3 linked regions of the Schizosaccharomyces pombe genome follow. Changing the gene in region 1 together with any one later gene gives a genetic interaction. Each region holds a gene or a part of one and is shown in the gene's direction. Other genes may lie near its edges. The genes, in order: prr1, ecl3 and mak2.

Region 1 (5,586 bases):
GTTATTGTATAAGCGTGGGTAATCTTAAAGATGAAAAAATTTTATCAGATTAGATTTTTCCACATTGACCTTTGACAAATGAAAACTCCTAGATGCACAATCGACCAATCGGGGTAAAAATCAGATAGCGATCAGATAACTGATTGGATGAGAAAATAGTTACACTTTAAAGCTGAAAAGGCGAAGATATTGGCCAATATGCAGCAGAAGTGAGCCTAAATGCCTCGAATCGCTTAAACGAGGTACCGTGCAATAAGTGAGCACAAGATGTAGGTACGATAGCGAATCGAACGGCACTTGGCGTATTCAGTTCCGAATGTGCAAATAACAGTGTATAATTAAAGCACATTAATCTCAGTTAACGAAATCGGTCGACAAAGTAGACCAATGGGAAGGGTTCAAGCGAGCCCTTGGATTAAATTAATGGAAGGTTGTGAAGGGCACGTATTTACTAGATGAAGAGAGCGCGCTTTTCAGTATGGGTTAATAAAATGAAAACTTGTGCTACTAGTTTAAGCATAATAAATGGAAAAAGCTTCCCCCATTTGCTATTGCTATAGTGTGAATACACAATTGAGAAACTTTTAAAAATGCAAGTTTTAGAGAGGATGGATGGGATGGATACGCGTTTGAAAATGCCTTTTTTCTACTTCATTAGTTACGCCTTGTGAAATGGAAAAAAATCTTGAAGCCAAGTCTTCCTACCCAGATGGGAAATTCAAGACAAATGCTAGGAATGTGCAACAGATCATGTTTGCTAAAAGATATTGCAAGTGTGTGTCGTTTGACTTATTGACTGGACTAGTCGACGCGTTCATCCCATGAATAGGGGATTTCGCAAACATTTCTTATTGCTTTTAAAAATGGAAGTGCAGTTTTGTTATTACTTTTAAAGTAAAAAAGATGTTGCTGTTATTTCTTTAATGTAAATTAATTATATTTTACTATTTGCATTAACGAAAAACGATGCAATATCTAAATTACTTTTAGGGCACCCCTTATCCTTGCTATGTTAAATCTGTCATGGATGTAATGCTATTGCTATTGCTATTGCTATTGCCAGTGTAATAATAAACCGCGGAGCTGAGTCAGCACTAATAGCGTCATACCCTTATCTCTGCACTTATCGTATCGCTCGCCATCTTTTTTATAATTTTACGAGCGGAGAAATTTTTTGATGCAAAAGATATTTAACGAATCAATACATTGTCTTCTAATCCAATAACTACGTATTCTAAGGATGAATACTTTATAATGGGATTCTATGAGAATATTTATTTCGTTTATATAATCTTATGAAGCATTTCAAATAAGCATAACATGTATCTATTCTCTTGTTCGAAAACCGAGCCAAGGGATCAGGGGTCATTTCTAATGAATCAGGGGACTTCTTTTTCTTTCTCAATTCTTATTTTGTTTCCCTTTGTTGATAATGTAAAAGCCTCGTTTAATTGAGTACAATCAGCAAGTGAGGAATCGGTTTATTTCGCTTTCCTTTTCATAGAAAAAGGGACTCGTCCATCAATGTCCTGGCGTCGTTTATTCAAACTTTGTCATTCGGTGCTTTTTAACAGGCAATTTCCGCTTTTGCTGGTCGATCTGTATGCGTCAAAAGTTTTGTCTGGTCCGGCATCACACGATGTTGACAAAAAAATCATCATCCACTGCAAGGTGTAGTGGGTACACAAAGTTGGGTGTGTATTCCCAAATTCCAATGCATTTTTATAATATGCGATAAGCTCCCATAGCTAATCACTTGTCCTTTAACGTTGAAACTACTGTACACAAAGGTAGACCGCAGCACACACACTTGAGCATTCAAAGTAAGAGCGTCTGCTGGATATTCTTATAGCAAGGTCAATTGTGTTGAATGCATAAAGAGCATCTCTTTTCTGAATGGTTCAACGAGCATATTGCACAGTGGATTCCAATAAAAAAAATAAAGGAAACGTAAACGATCGAAAAAAAAATGCTTTTTAAAAAATCCCGTGTCAGCGTTTATACCAAGGAAATATCGCATAGTGATCCTTTTGCTCTACATACTCCACGCATGCACCATCGATACACTACCAAGAACCGCAGCAACTCAGCCTTATTACTGTGTCATCCATCCCATGTGTTTATTCTTGCTGTGCCCACAGCACGCTTGCACAAACGTATGTGGGACGGTCGTTACGTCTGCGATGATGACTGCCTAGGGAGCCCCGCGCGCTTTAGCCGGTTCAGGAAGAGTTTGGGATAATGCAGTACGATGGTATGCACTATACTAGATTTAACTTTGCAACGTTTCGCAATCGGTGAACAGCATCATCAAGTCAAATCAAGCACCGTAAAGGAGAGAGATCAGTACGAAAGATCCCTTTTCTGGAGGGTAGTGAAAAAGACAGTAATATGCGGGTTTCGCATTGTTTTTGAGGGTTCATTAATTGAGAAGTTTTTGCTGCAATTAACGTTAAAAAATATGTCGAATTTGCATTGCCGATCTCCTGCCGTTCATCGTTTAACCAACGTTGCGTAAGCTAACACGCCCTTGTGAGCATCGGCAAATAGCCACATGGAAGCCTCGAGGGTGTCATATCCACCACACCTCAAAATTTGCAACTCTCCAACAACCAACAACATTGTTGAAAAGGTGAAGATTTTTTGTAAATACGACCGTTTGGTCATATATTAAACGAGAAGATGCCGTCTTCGAACGGATCCTCCGACTTTGTATGTTGGTTCCTTTTTCCGATGAATTTTTTATAATTATAAAATTTCACGTTTCGTGATAAAACTATGTTTTCTCATACTAACGTTGTTGAATTAGGTGCGAAAACTCTTCAACATGTTGGAAGAACCCGAATATAGGCATATCCTGCGCTGGAGCGATTCTGGGGATTCTTTTATTGTGTTGGATGTAAGAAATCCTTGAAAATTTGTTTGCTGGATGTAAAAGAGAGAAGAAAGGAAGAATGAGTTATCATTATATTTATCGCCGCCATTGTTGTTATTTAACCAGAGAAAGCATTCTACTTTTATTGTTTATCCTCGAAAAGCTAGTAAAAGAGGGGAGATTTTTTTTGAAGGTTTGCTAAAAAATAATTTTTTTACTATTCTTGATTTGTTTCCTTTTTCTTTCTGATTACAACTTGAATTAAAAAGGATTGACAATGATGGGAAAGGAATCTTTTGAGGCAGCAAGAGATTCCTATCGCAACAATCGGGTTGTTTTATTACAAAAATCGCTTTTCTTTTTGAAATAAAACAATTCTATTCGTTGTTTTCTTTTTAGTATTACCAATGTTACGCTGAAAAACGTCCAGTTTGCCCGTAAACCTGAGTCGTCGAATTTGCTTTGTTTCCATACCCTAGTACTTTGTCCTTTTTTTTCGCATTGCATCTCGATTTTTTCGAACAGACTTATTCCTTGTCATCATCTTTTTTGAGTAATAGTTTTTACATCTCTTAGAGACCAATTTTATTTTTAGGCCTTACCTTCTTTTTAAACTTTGGCTTTTGACTAGCTATTCTTCTAGTCTTATGTTTTTTTTTCTCTTACGTTTGCATTTTTCTCCTTTCTTTGTCACTCTAATCTACTTTTCCGCATTCAAAATTCCTTTTTCCCCTTTCCCCTTTGTTTCCCTGAGTTTATCACTAACTTACTGCTTTTTAGACCAACGAGTTTACAAAGACCATTCTGCCTCGCCACTTCAAACATAGTAACTTTGCAAGTTTTGTCCGACAACTCAACAAGTATGAGATATTTTTATTTATTTATTTTTTTTTTACACTTGCTAATCGTCTAGATATGATTTTCACAAAGTACGGCACGAAGAAGGCGCGCCGAGTATATATGGTGAAGGGGTATGTCATATGGGTTAAGGATTTAGGGGCTTCATACTTGTTGAATAGGTTTGAGAAACAAACTTGTCTTCATTCCATCATACTTGTAAAAAAGCCATCCCTCCTTTTAGAATTTCTATTATACTAATCATTCTCTTCTTTAGGCTTGGGAGTTTCGTCATGACGACTTTCAGCTTCATCATAAGGACCTGCTCGACAATATTAAGCGAAAGGCTCCGTCCAAGCGCAATTTAGCTAACGAGAACACTGCTCCAGTTATTGAAAACCTAAAACAGCAGGTGGATTCTATATTAGACTTTCAAAAATTACTTGATAGAAATCTTTCGGGTCTTGCCACAAGTTACCAAACGATACTTCTTAAAATGTTTGAACTCAAGCGGGGGATTGAGTCTAGAGATTTGCTTATGAGTAGCATCATATCTTACCTCTGCGATTTAGAGGGATCTACTCAACGGCAAGCTAATCCCGGAGCCATGTTTGTTCCCTCTCATCCTCTCCAGGAGTTATTAAATGCATACCAAGCGTTAGCGAAGGGCCAAGTTGCAACTACTTCTCCACAACAGATACCAAATCAAATTCAACAGGCTTCCGCTGCTACTACCGCTTCTTCAAAGATGACTGTTGACACCAATCTTGGCACAGCACAACCTTCTTTGTATAATACTCCTTCATCTGATTATGAACTGGCAAATCAGGAAAAGCCGGCAGACTCCATGGCCTCTGCCGCCTCTCTAAATACCCCTTTATCATCTAATGACCATTCTTTGAATCCACACGCCCATGGCTCATATCCGATGTACGAAAAATTTCAACCGATTCAGCATCCAAATCCAGGAAGCTTTACCACCCATCTTGACTCCAATGCTTCCATGGCAAAGTCATTTTCTCAAATTTCAAACGATTCCCTTGCCAAAGCTAGTTCAGTAGCAACGTCCATGTCTCAAATGGGCGCTGCTGTTCCAACTACTGGCTTGTGGAAGCGGCAACCAAGGATTTTACTTGTCGAAGATGATGAACTTTCTCGTAGAATGACTATCAAATTTTTAACTTCATTTGATTGCCAGGTCGATGTAGCTGTCGATGGAATTGGTGCCGTAAATAAAGCTAATGCTGGTGGATTCGATCTCATCTTAATGGACTTTATACTTCCTAATTTGGATGGACTGTCTGTAACCTGTTTAATTCGTCAATACGATCATAACACACCGATTTTGGCTATAACTTCAAATATATCGATGAATGATGCAGTTACCTACTTTAATCATGGTGTAACAGATCTATTAGTTAAGCCATTTACAAAGTTGACTCTACTTCAACTTTTAAAAAAGCAACTTTTGAATCTTTTACAAGCGGATAACTCAATTAATATGTCTGATGTTCCCTCCACGAAAGAAGCTAAAGACGATAAGGCTCCTGTGACATTTTACTTAGAGAATGATGCTCCTATGTATCCTCAACAGATGTTACAGGATCCCATTCAAGCAGACTTACAGCATCCACATTGATGGAAAAGTCTTAATGTTATATATTTCTTATTTTTACTATCAGGTCTCTTTTACTTTTGTTTTATATAAAAAACTATCTATCACTTCTGTTTGATTTAGTTAAAGGTTTAATCTTTGGTCTATGTATCTATGTTCTCTTTGGGGTTCAAGTTAAGGCTTTCTTTTCGAAGAAAGGCTTTTCATATCCCATGACTAGTTGTTTAAATTCCACAAATTCCAAACAGTGTCGGAATTG
Region 2 (4,974 bases), on another chromosome or scaffold:
CACATCATTTTCGAAAGAGGAGAATGAATGCTTTTAGGCATAGCGATAACCAGAACAGTAGCGATGATAACAATAACCATTTCTTTACCGTAGACAAATTTACGGCCAAAGAAATCACCCATAAAACCAAATAACAGTTGTCCAAAAATGTTACCAATATTGGCTGACGCATTTACAAGACCACGAATACCAGAGGGATAATGGCCTTTTCCTGTGGGACCTTTTTCAATACCACCCCAATAAAGATATTCAAAAATGGGAGTAACTAAATTGATGATAAAAAGATCGTAACTGTCAAGGAAAAACCCGACACCTGCAAGCATCATAAGTTTAAATTCGCGCTTTGTCAACCCCAAGTAATAGCGACGCTCTTGCGCACCCTCTTCGACTTGGTCGAGAGGTACTGCATCGTCGTTATACTCATCAGACTTAGATCCAATGTTTAAAATTTTGCTCCCAAATGCCATCTTGTGATTTCCTTGCGTTCAAAATATGAGAGAAAAGGAAAGCAATGAATGATAAAGTAAGTCTTAATCGCTGCTTTATGCAAATTAATGAAGTCCGAATGCGGTTGCAATTAGAATTAAGAAAACTGAGTACCGGTGGTTTACACACACAGATAATTCAGTATGCAATGGAGCAATATATATAGTAAACTACCAGTTTGTCAGATTGGTGGCTTTGTTATAGAAAAAAAATTAATAATTAAGATCAAAAGCTTTGGTGTTGACGTTCCCTGGCAACCGGCACATTCACCACCTGCTTAATCTTATTTCAAAACAAAATAGCAAAACAGGAAGAAATCGGAAATGCAAAACACTATGTTTATAAGTAAACCGTCCAATTTGCTTTGTAACTGATATGAATCCAATAAGGAAATATAAAAAAATAGTAAAAAAATATTAACAATTAAAATTTTCTATTTCAGGATTAAGGTAACGCGGTGTTAGAAAACTGAGGGAAAGTAATGGGTCAATTTGGTTTAAGATTTGCACTTTAAAGTAAAAGAATTAGCACTAGCGGACAACTGCAAAAACAGACAATTATACTAAAGGGGTATCAGTTCATAAAAAAGTTGCAAAAGTGGTAATACCCTCGTTAGACCCACTCGGAAATCTTAAGTTAATAACGTTGACATTACTAATTGAGACAAAATTGTAGTTAAGAGACAAACTCATACTGCAGAGAACTCAATACGGTATGCATTCAAAATGAAATTTGCGAAAATAAAAATCAGTATGTCATTATACAATACAGAATTGGCCCAAGTAAAACACGGTTTAATCGTCGAGCTGTTTGGTTTTTTCAATTCCATGGAAAGCACGCGATGTCGTTGTTTTAAAACCAGTAATCGGCCGGTTTCAAAAGTATACATTCCAGAATACCACGGATTGATGCTGTGTAGCTCAATGCATGCCCACACACAGAACACCCGGATAAGTTGGTTCCGATATCCTCCAACCCGATAGGATGTTGGGTGATAAGATTTCTTTGACAAAATAGACATCAACAAAGCATGCATGCTTCCACTTCCATTAAACTCGGCGAACGGAAATGCCGCCATCCTACAAAATTCCCCTCACCTCTCCTATTGTCGGTCTTTGAAATTAACAACTACCAGGTACCGAGCAGAATGTTCTGCACGGAATTGACCTGACAACCGGCATCCGCACAAAACAGCCACTTCAGCAATTTCGGTTCCAAGTATGTTCCATTCATGCACGTAAACCGTAGTTTATTTTAGGAACCTCAGTTTACCGAACGCTAAAATTTATTAGGCAGCATATACTGCCGAAGCAAAAAGATGAACGGATACGAGGATTTTACCGCCCGCCACCCTTCAACAAGTGTAATGGATATAAGATGATTTGATAGTATTCGAAAATTTTTGAATTTTCGTGTCGAGTAGCAAATTCCATTGTTTTACATTCTTGCTATCTAATTAAAAGCAACGATGAGTTAATCTTTCGTGCATTATTCTAGTTCGACAAAACGCAGAATAATTTTCAAGAAAAGACCGTGGAAACTAATTAATTATTATAAGGACAGATGTCGATATTAATAAATTTCAATTTCTAACGATTTTCATAGTTTAATTTGTTATGAATTAATTCTATCTCATCCTCTATGACTTATTTCGTTCTATTTCATACTACCAATGCGTTTAAATTAAAATTAAAAATTTGAATAGTTAGGTACTCAGGCTTCTTATATAGCTATTGATGCAGTGTGTGACGTCATTTTTTTAAATTGAAAAAGGGGGTTTTTGACAGGGTAAGATTGTGTACCGTTCGGTATGCAAACTGAACTGGAAGATTGGAAAAATTAAACCCTTTTCTGAAAATAATAGGAATTAAGTTAGGATAGTCGAAACAATTTCTTCCATATAACTATCGTGATCAGTCAAGGGCAGTTTACTAATTTATTTCCAGCGTCGTATATTGCCGAATTCACACGCATTTTACTCACATCGTTCGAAGATAAAAAAAATATAAATAATAAAAATTGAAATTCGTGTAAGCGAAAAGGAATGTGTGAGAAGGATTTTGGACTGTTCTATTCTCATGGGAATGTGAAGTAACTACTCTCTTGCTACCATAGTTGCTTGTTGTGACTTGACATCGTATAAGTGACTGTAAATTAGATGCCGGCTCCATGTCGCACAATAAACCTTTTGAGAGAAAATAAATTATGACATTCCTAAGACTCGGCAATTTTGATTTGTTATTTTTTTTTATTCTCTCAACATTTCCCTAGATTCACAGTCGAGAATGATACGTTGATACACATCCTTTCACGGTAATCTGCAATCCCTGTTTATGGTTTTACATCGTCCTTCGTAATTCTTGTCTTTCTTATATATATATGGAGGAGTGCGTTTGAGATACGCCAGGACTCTAGAGAATTCTTCTCTTTCATTTATCTACGATAAAGTCTTCGTTTCTCCTCTCATTCTTTCACTAGAATAGAGAAAAAGAAGGACAATTGCAAAAGCTCTTTTTATAATTCAATCTTCCTTCTCAATTTTTTTTTCTATTTTCAAGCAAACCAACGGATTTTGACGTTCGTCTTTTCGTTATCTTTCAAAGTTAGCTATTTTAAAGAAAAAATGGATTTAAACTTATGTTTGCTATGTGGTAACTCCATCGATGCCGAAGGATTGTATTGCTCAAATGAATGTCGAATTCAGGATAAAGCTACGACAGAGCTGTTTTCTGATCCCTTGAAGTCGCCTTCTCTCAACGAGACAATAGACTACCTTGCTTTGAATTACTTTGATCTTTTCAGCAGACGATCTTCAATGTGCTCTTCGTCGAATTCCTCAATTTATTCTGGGATATATTATACCGAATTGAAGAATTATAGTGTTGAGAATTAGAAAATTTTTTACCTTTAATGTTTTTTCTACTCTTTGAAGCATTTCTCTTCTATTTGATCGAGCTACATAAATTATCGGTTTTGAGGCTATTGGAAGTTAGTATCAAATAAAATTTGGTATAGTTTGGATTTCCCTAATCATTTTTTCATTTTCGGCTTCATTTGTTTTTTACATTCTCTTTCTTAGTTACTTACCTACAGTTCTTTCGCGTTTCCTCGGATTTTTTTTCTTTTCTTTTATCACCCTCACTAATTGCATTATTTATCTTTAATTTTCTTTTGAAATTAAAAAAAAAAGAGGGTCTACTTTAATTTTTTTTTCTTCAATCCTGAGCTCATTTAGCATCACTTTAGAATGTTTCATAATGATATTAAGGGATATCCATTTAAATATATTACGGAGCTTGTCACTCTACCCTTGAGTCTATCTTAAAAAAATACATTTACAGAATCATTTGTTTACGATAACATTATTGATATTCATTTATACATTTAAAGCTTTTTTTTTTATTAAAAAGCATTTTCTTTATATTAATAGGACTAACGTCAATTTCCTTTCATTTGCATACATTCGGCAATAATGACTAGCAATTAACACCAATGCTAGAACGATCTTTTTTGTTTTATTATAGTGTGCCTAATTTTCTTTATTTTTCGTTATTTGTGGCTGCATTTTTTATTTATTTATTTATTTATTTATTTACATCTTGTCATTTAGTTAAAAATTTAATGAACTATTTTTGTTTAACTAATATTAATTTGTCATTTCATCTTTTCTTTATACATCTTATTTTACTGAATCAGAGTTATTTGAATTAAATAATAATTAATTTCGCTTCTCGTTTTCTATGCACCATACAACTAGTAAAGATTTATTAAAGATTTTTTATATACTAAACTTTTAAAAATGTGTACAAAAAGTGGGACGTGTAGATGTCACTGATTTGGATTTTTTCTGTAAATTAGCTTCGGCAAATTTATTAGAATAAGAACAGTAAAAAAAAAATAAAGATTGGAATGTGCTTAAGATTTTTCTCAAGAAGTGTAAATGCTACGAATTCAATAATTATAATAAATTTGTAAATAATATAAAGAATCACAAATGCAGAATTACCATATCATTGATGTCTACATGAGTTAAGACCTTGGCGAGTTTAATAGTACATGAACATCATAAAAAATTTCAAAAATAAACTTAATATTGCCACAGGATGGAGATTTAGTATCCCATTTGTTTAGTATCCTGCTAGCTCATCCATAACTGGAAAATTAGGAAATAAACAACGAAATACTGTTTATAATCAATGAATATTCAAGGAAAAACAACCAACCAAAATTTACAGCATAATAATTAACGACGAAAAGATGGAAATACCGTAACGATGCGCAAACCTCCATACTGAAGTTGTAAATGAATCAGTCAACCGTTGGAAACAGCGTAGTTCATATTCTAAAGTGTGGTAGCGAATATCTTTCTTAGTATTTCTAGCTGCCGAGAGATCTACCAACGAACTCTAGGTCTCCGCAAAATTTGACAAGAGTGGTACTCGGCCTGGATAACTTTATGTTCAGAAGAAAGATCATCGTCATGGCATA
Region 3 (5,586 bases), 360 kb from region 1:
CCAATACGGAAAAGCTACCAAAGCCAATAAAAGGGTTAGAATTTGAAGTTGAACTAACTCAAGAAAACTACAGATTACCTATCAGAAATTACCCGCTACCACCGGGAAAAATGCAAGCTATGAATGATGAAATTAATCAAGGATTAAAAAGTGGAATTATACGAGAATCTAAAGCCATTAACGCCTGTCCAGTAATGTTCGTTCCGAAAAAGGAAGGCACCTTGAGAATGGTGGTTGACTACAAACCTTTAAATAAGTATGTCAAACCCAATATATATCCGTTACCACTTATTGAACAATTACTTGCTAAAATACAAGGTTCTACAATTTTTACTAAACTTGACCTCAAAAGTGCCTATCACTTGATACGAGTAAGAAAAGGAGATGAACATAAACTTGCTTTTCGCTGTCCTCGTGGAGTTTTTGAATATCTAGTAATGCCTTATGGCATATCTACAGCTCCAGCACATTTTCAATACTTTATCAATACAATACTTGGTGAAGCCAAAGAATCACATGTAGTATGTTATATGGATGATATTTTAATTCATTCAAAATCGGAATCTGAACATGTAAAACATGTTAAAGACGTTCTACAGAAATTGAAAAATGCGAACTTAATTATCAATCAAGCAAAATGTGAATTTCACCAATCACAAGTAAAATTTATAGGGTATCACATTTCGGAAAAAGGATTTACGCCTTGTCAAGAAAATATAGACAAAGTCTTACAATGGAAGCAACCTAAGAATCGTAAAGAATTACGACAATTTCTAGGTTCTGTCAATTATCTTAGGAAATTCATTCCAAAGACATCACAATTAACACATCCACTCAATAATCTTTTGAAAAAGGATGTACGCTGGAAATGGACACCAACACAAACCCAAGCGATAGAAAACATTAAACAATGTTTAGTTTCTCCTCCGGTGCTACGACACTTTGATTTCAGTAAAAAGATTCTACTGGAAACTGATGCTTCAGATGTCGCTGTAGGAGCCGTATTGTCTCAAAAACATGATGATGATAAATACTATCCTGTTGGATACTATTCAGCAAAGATGTCTAAAGCACAATTAAATTATAGCGTATCGGACAAAGAAATGCTTGCAATCATTAAGTCTCTCAAACATTGGAGACACTATTTAGAATCCACTATCGAACCTTTCAAAATTTTAACAGACCATCGAAACTTAATTGGTCGCATTACTAACGAATCCGAGCCTGAAAACAAACGTTTAGCTCGTTGGCAATTATTTTTACAAGACTTCAACTTTGAAATTAACTACAGACCTGGATCAGCAAATCACATAGCTGATGCCTTATCCAGAATTGTTGACGAAACAGAACCAATTCCAAAAGATTCAGAAGACAATAGTATCAACTTTGTTAATCAAATCTCGATAACCGATGATTTTAAAAACCAAGTGGTTACAGAATATACGAATGATACAAAATTGTTGAATTTACTAAACAATGAAGACAAACGAGTGGAAGAGAATATCCAACTCAAAGATGGCTTACTAATTAACAGTAAAGACCAAATCTTATTACCTAATGATACTCAGCTGACTAGGACAATTATTAAAAAGTATCATGAAGAAGGTAAATTGATTCATCCAGGCATTGAACTTCTTACAAACATTATATTACGTAGATTTACGTGGAAAGGAATAAGAAAACAAATACAAGAATATGTACAGAACTGCCATACATGTCAAATAAACAAATCTAGGAATCATAAACCTTATGGACCTTTACAACCAATTCCCCCATCAGAAAGACCTTGGGAATCTTTATCAATGGATTTTATTACAGCTTTACCAGAATCATCTGGTTATAATGCACTTTTCGTGGTAGTTGACCGATTTTCAAAAATGGCAATCTTAGTACCTTGTACGAAATCCATTACAGCAGAGCAAACAGCTCGAATGTTTGATCAACGAGTTATTGCTTATTTCGGCAATCCAAAAGAAATCATTGCAGATAATGATCATATTTTTACTTCCCAAACGTGGAAAGATTTCGCACATAAATATAATTTCGTTATGAAATTTTCGTTACCATACAGACCACAAACTGATGGACAAACTGAGCGTACAAACCAAACTGTGGAGAAATTACTAAGATGTGTATGTAGCACACATCCAAATACATGGGTAGATCATATATCCCTAGTGCAACAATCTTACAACAATGCGATACATTCAGCAACTCAAATGACACCTTTTGAGATAGTACATCGCTATTCACCAGCTTTATCACCTTTAGAGTTACCTAGCTTTAGTGACAAAACTGACGAAAACTCTCAGGAAACGATCCAAGTATTTCAAACAGTTAAAGAACACTTGAATACAAACAACATAAAGATGAAAAAGTATTTCGATATGAAAATACAAGAAATTGAAGAATTTCAACCTGGAGACCTAGTTATGGTCAAAAGAACGAAAACAGGTTTTCTTCATAAATCCAATAAATTAGCACCTAGTTTTGCAGGACCGTTCTATGTGTTACAGAAGTCGGGTCCAAACAACTATGAATTGGATCTTCCAGATTCAATCAAGCACATGTTTTCATCTACTTTTCATGTTTCTCACCTAGAAAAGTATCGACATAATTCAGAACTCAATTACGCTACCATTGATGAGTCTGATATTGGAACAATTCTTCATATCCTAGAACATAAAAACAGAGAACAAGTACTCTACTTAAATGTCAAGTACATTTCGAATCTAAATCCGAGTACTATTATGTCAGGATGGACTACATTAGCTACAGCGCTACAAGCGGACAAAGCAATTGTCAATGATTATATTAAAAACAATAATCTAAATATCTGAGAACATATGACTTATCCTCAGATTTACATAGAAAATCTTGGGGAGGGCAATGTCAGCAATACTACACTACGCTATAATACACTACGTTGAGTATCACTATATGTCACATGTTCTAATTATATATCGTACCATGTATGATACGATATGGAGATTGATCTTAATGATAATCTATTAAGATCAATATTATCTGAATACTATAAATAGAGCTACTGCTGAACCTCGTTCCTCAGTTCAGTTATGAGCTATATTAGTGATAGGTAACATTATAACCCAGTTAATACAATACCTATACTCAGTTGCTACTTATACAACCTGTGTATCGTAATATAATAGATCACAAGGAAAACTCACCGCAGTTCTACGTATCCTTAAATCAGATACCAAACTGCGTAGCTTACATTTTAAAATCAATAAGAAGCATACCACATTTTTTGTTAAATGGTATAAGGATACCCTCTGTCATGCTAATTGGTGACGGCAAATTCTAAAGTTAACAATAAATCCACCCCTTCAACTTCTCATTTTATACTATATTCTAAATATTAATTATTTACAGTTTAACATGTCGTATTAAGGATAATTATTGATTTTATTTTTATTTTTTTTAGTTCAAATTCTCAATGAGCTTGTACAAGTCATTGGACGTTGCAATTGATTATGCAATTTCTCAGTTGGGAGAGTTCCAGTTCCAACCAATTCGTACGCAATCGAACCCTTCTTCTCTTCTTTCTGCGTGCTTGGTGCGTGCCGTCCATGTAGAAACAAGGCGAAAAGTAATTTTTAAGTTTTCCCAACAAACTTTCAAGCTAGAGAATGAATACTTTTTGTTGCGTCAGTTGTCATCTCATCCAAATGGAAGAAATTATGCTATTGCTCCCGCATATATATTACTGTTGAACGAAACCTTAGGTGCGCTTATTTACGATGATCCTGGGCCTAACATTCTGGATGAGTGGTTAGGGAATCCTAACCCTTTGGATCTAAAATTATTTCTCAAGTTTGCCCTTGGCGTTTCTTACGTCTTATGTTTTTTACATGAAAAAAAAATCGTGCATGGCGAAATTCGTCTTGACACTTTCCATTATGATTTGAATGCCCCTATTCATGCAAAGTTGCTTACCATCGGGAGTAGCGTATCCCCTATCAGATTTACCTTGTCTTCCTTAAACTGGAAGCGTCTTTATCAAGTCCAGAATATATGTCACAAACTTCAGTTTTTTAGTCCTGAACAAATTGGAAATGTGGGGCGACCGTTAGATTCCAGGTCCGATATCTATTCTTTGGGTATTCTTTTTTATGTTATCTTGACCAAGCAATATCCCTGGGGTGGGCAATCTATGAGAATTGTTCAATCGATTCATATGAGACAGTTTCCTTCTGTATTGCCTCGTCGTCCTGATGCCTTTCCAGCGCTTGATCAATTGATTCAAAAAATGACTGCCAAGTCTATGAACTCAAGAATTTCTTCTGCTACCGATTTGTGTTATACGATTGTTGAGTTAATGCAAGAATTTTCTACAATCACCTCTTCTCCTTTGCTGGACCAAAAATTGTTATCTATAAATAAACCACAGCAAGAAAAGCTTAAGTTTCCTAAATTACTATTGACCAATTCTTCAGATTACGTCCGGATCTTCCACGAGCTTGTAGCTTTTTCTTCAAAACGCGATCTTCTAACGAGTGCTAAGCGTGTTGATAAACTTCCAAAGCAACACCTTTTCAAATATCGTCCAGTAGATAATGAGGCTACATATTGCCAAGTTGTTACAGTTACCGGTGAGAAGGGCTCTGGAAAAAGTAATTTGCTTAATGCTGTCGCCGATGAAGCAAGAAAATTTGGATATTTTGCAATGAGCTCTTTTAAAGGTCATCATTTTTCTCCATATTCTGCCATTTTTAAATGTGTCTCTTTAATTATGCAACAGACTCTTCGTGAAGAAAAACAGCTAGTTACTGATTACTTTACATCGCTGTGGGAATTTCTTGGATTTCAATTGATTTACATGGGAGAACTATTTGAATATGTTCCAGAATTAAACTCGCTACTATCTCCGAAATATAATCTACATTGCAAAAGAGAAAACTATTTCAAGTTAAAAAAGAGAGATCCCCAACAATTCCGCAGTGCAAGCGGTCGTTTAGGATTTATGGTTTGTCTTCTAGAAATACTAAGCTTCACTTCCAGAGTTCGACCTGTCATTATAATATTGGATGAATTACATTTGGCTGATCATCCTTCGCTCTCTTTGATAATTGGCATGATTTCTCATAGACTTCCTATCTTACTAATTTTGGCTTGGGATGAACCTGTGATGTTTAAAGATTTTTCGAAATGTCTTCATGAGGCCCCATATGCGATGGTCACTGATATTAGAATGAACCTTTTTGATCGTAAAAATATAACTGAATTTTTAGATAGCACTTTAGAGTCTCCAACTCAAGCTTTGGGTCCGTTAGTGCTATTGATGCAAAAGCTTAGTAAGGGAAATCCGTTGGTGCTAAAAAGTCTTCTACTCATTGCCTTTGCTAATAATGGCTTTGCCTTTCATCCAAAATCCTCTTCTTGGACTTATGATCTGCCTGTTATCAACCGAAGCTTTGAAGCTCTTTCTTCTTATGATATACCACCATTACTGGCATCATTGTTGGATGCTTTACTCCCTGCCAGATGTATTGAGTTTCTTTTATGGGCTGCATTGTTGGTCGAGCCGTTTCCGTTTGAATTGCTTCGATTAATTACCACATC

Evidence for each region.
Region 2: of prr1 (region 1) and ecl3, changing one suppresses a phenotype caused by changing the other (phenotypic suppression), as found in Schizosaccharomyces pombe (one study listed by BioGRID).
Region 3: mutations in prr1 (region 1) and mak2 impair growth when combined (synthetic growth defect), as found in Schizosaccharomyces pombe (one study listed by BioGRID).

Annotation. Positions count from the first base shown.
Region 1 is NC_003424.3:3,663,325-3,668,910, forward strand, and holds the start of prr1 (stress-responsive DNA-binding transcription factor Prr1), read left to right. Parts: upstream 1-2,607; 5' UTR 2,608-2,682; coding exon 2,683-2,712; intron 2,713-2,809; coding exon 2,810-2,899; intron 2,900-3,655; coding exon 3,656-3,735; intron 3,736-3,788; coding exon 3,789-3,846; intron 3,847-3,989; coding exon 3,990-5,351; 3' UTR 5,352-5,586. UniProt on the Schizosaccharomyces pombe protein: Involved in oxidative stress. Transcription factor that acts upon trr1 and ctt1.
Region 2 is NC_003423.3:4,439,745-4,444,718, reverse strand, and holds ecl3 (protein Ecl3), read left to right. Parts: upstream 1-2,891; 5' UTR 2,892-3,109; coding exon 3,110-3,379; downstream 3,380-4,974. Other genes in the region: pho84 (inorganic phosphate transporter), read right to left, coding at 1-467.
Region 3 is NC_003424.3:4,023,654-4,029,239, forward strand, and holds the start of mak2 (phosphorelay sensor kinase Mak2), read left to right. Parts: upstream 1-3,365; 5' UTR 3,366-3,460; coding exon 3,461-5,586. Other genes in the region: Tf2-6 (retrotransposable element/transposon Tf2-type), read left to right, coding at 1-2,840. UniProt on the Schizosaccharomyces pombe protein: Involved in the control of the SAPK-dependent transcriptional response to peroxide stress. Regulates sty1 activity.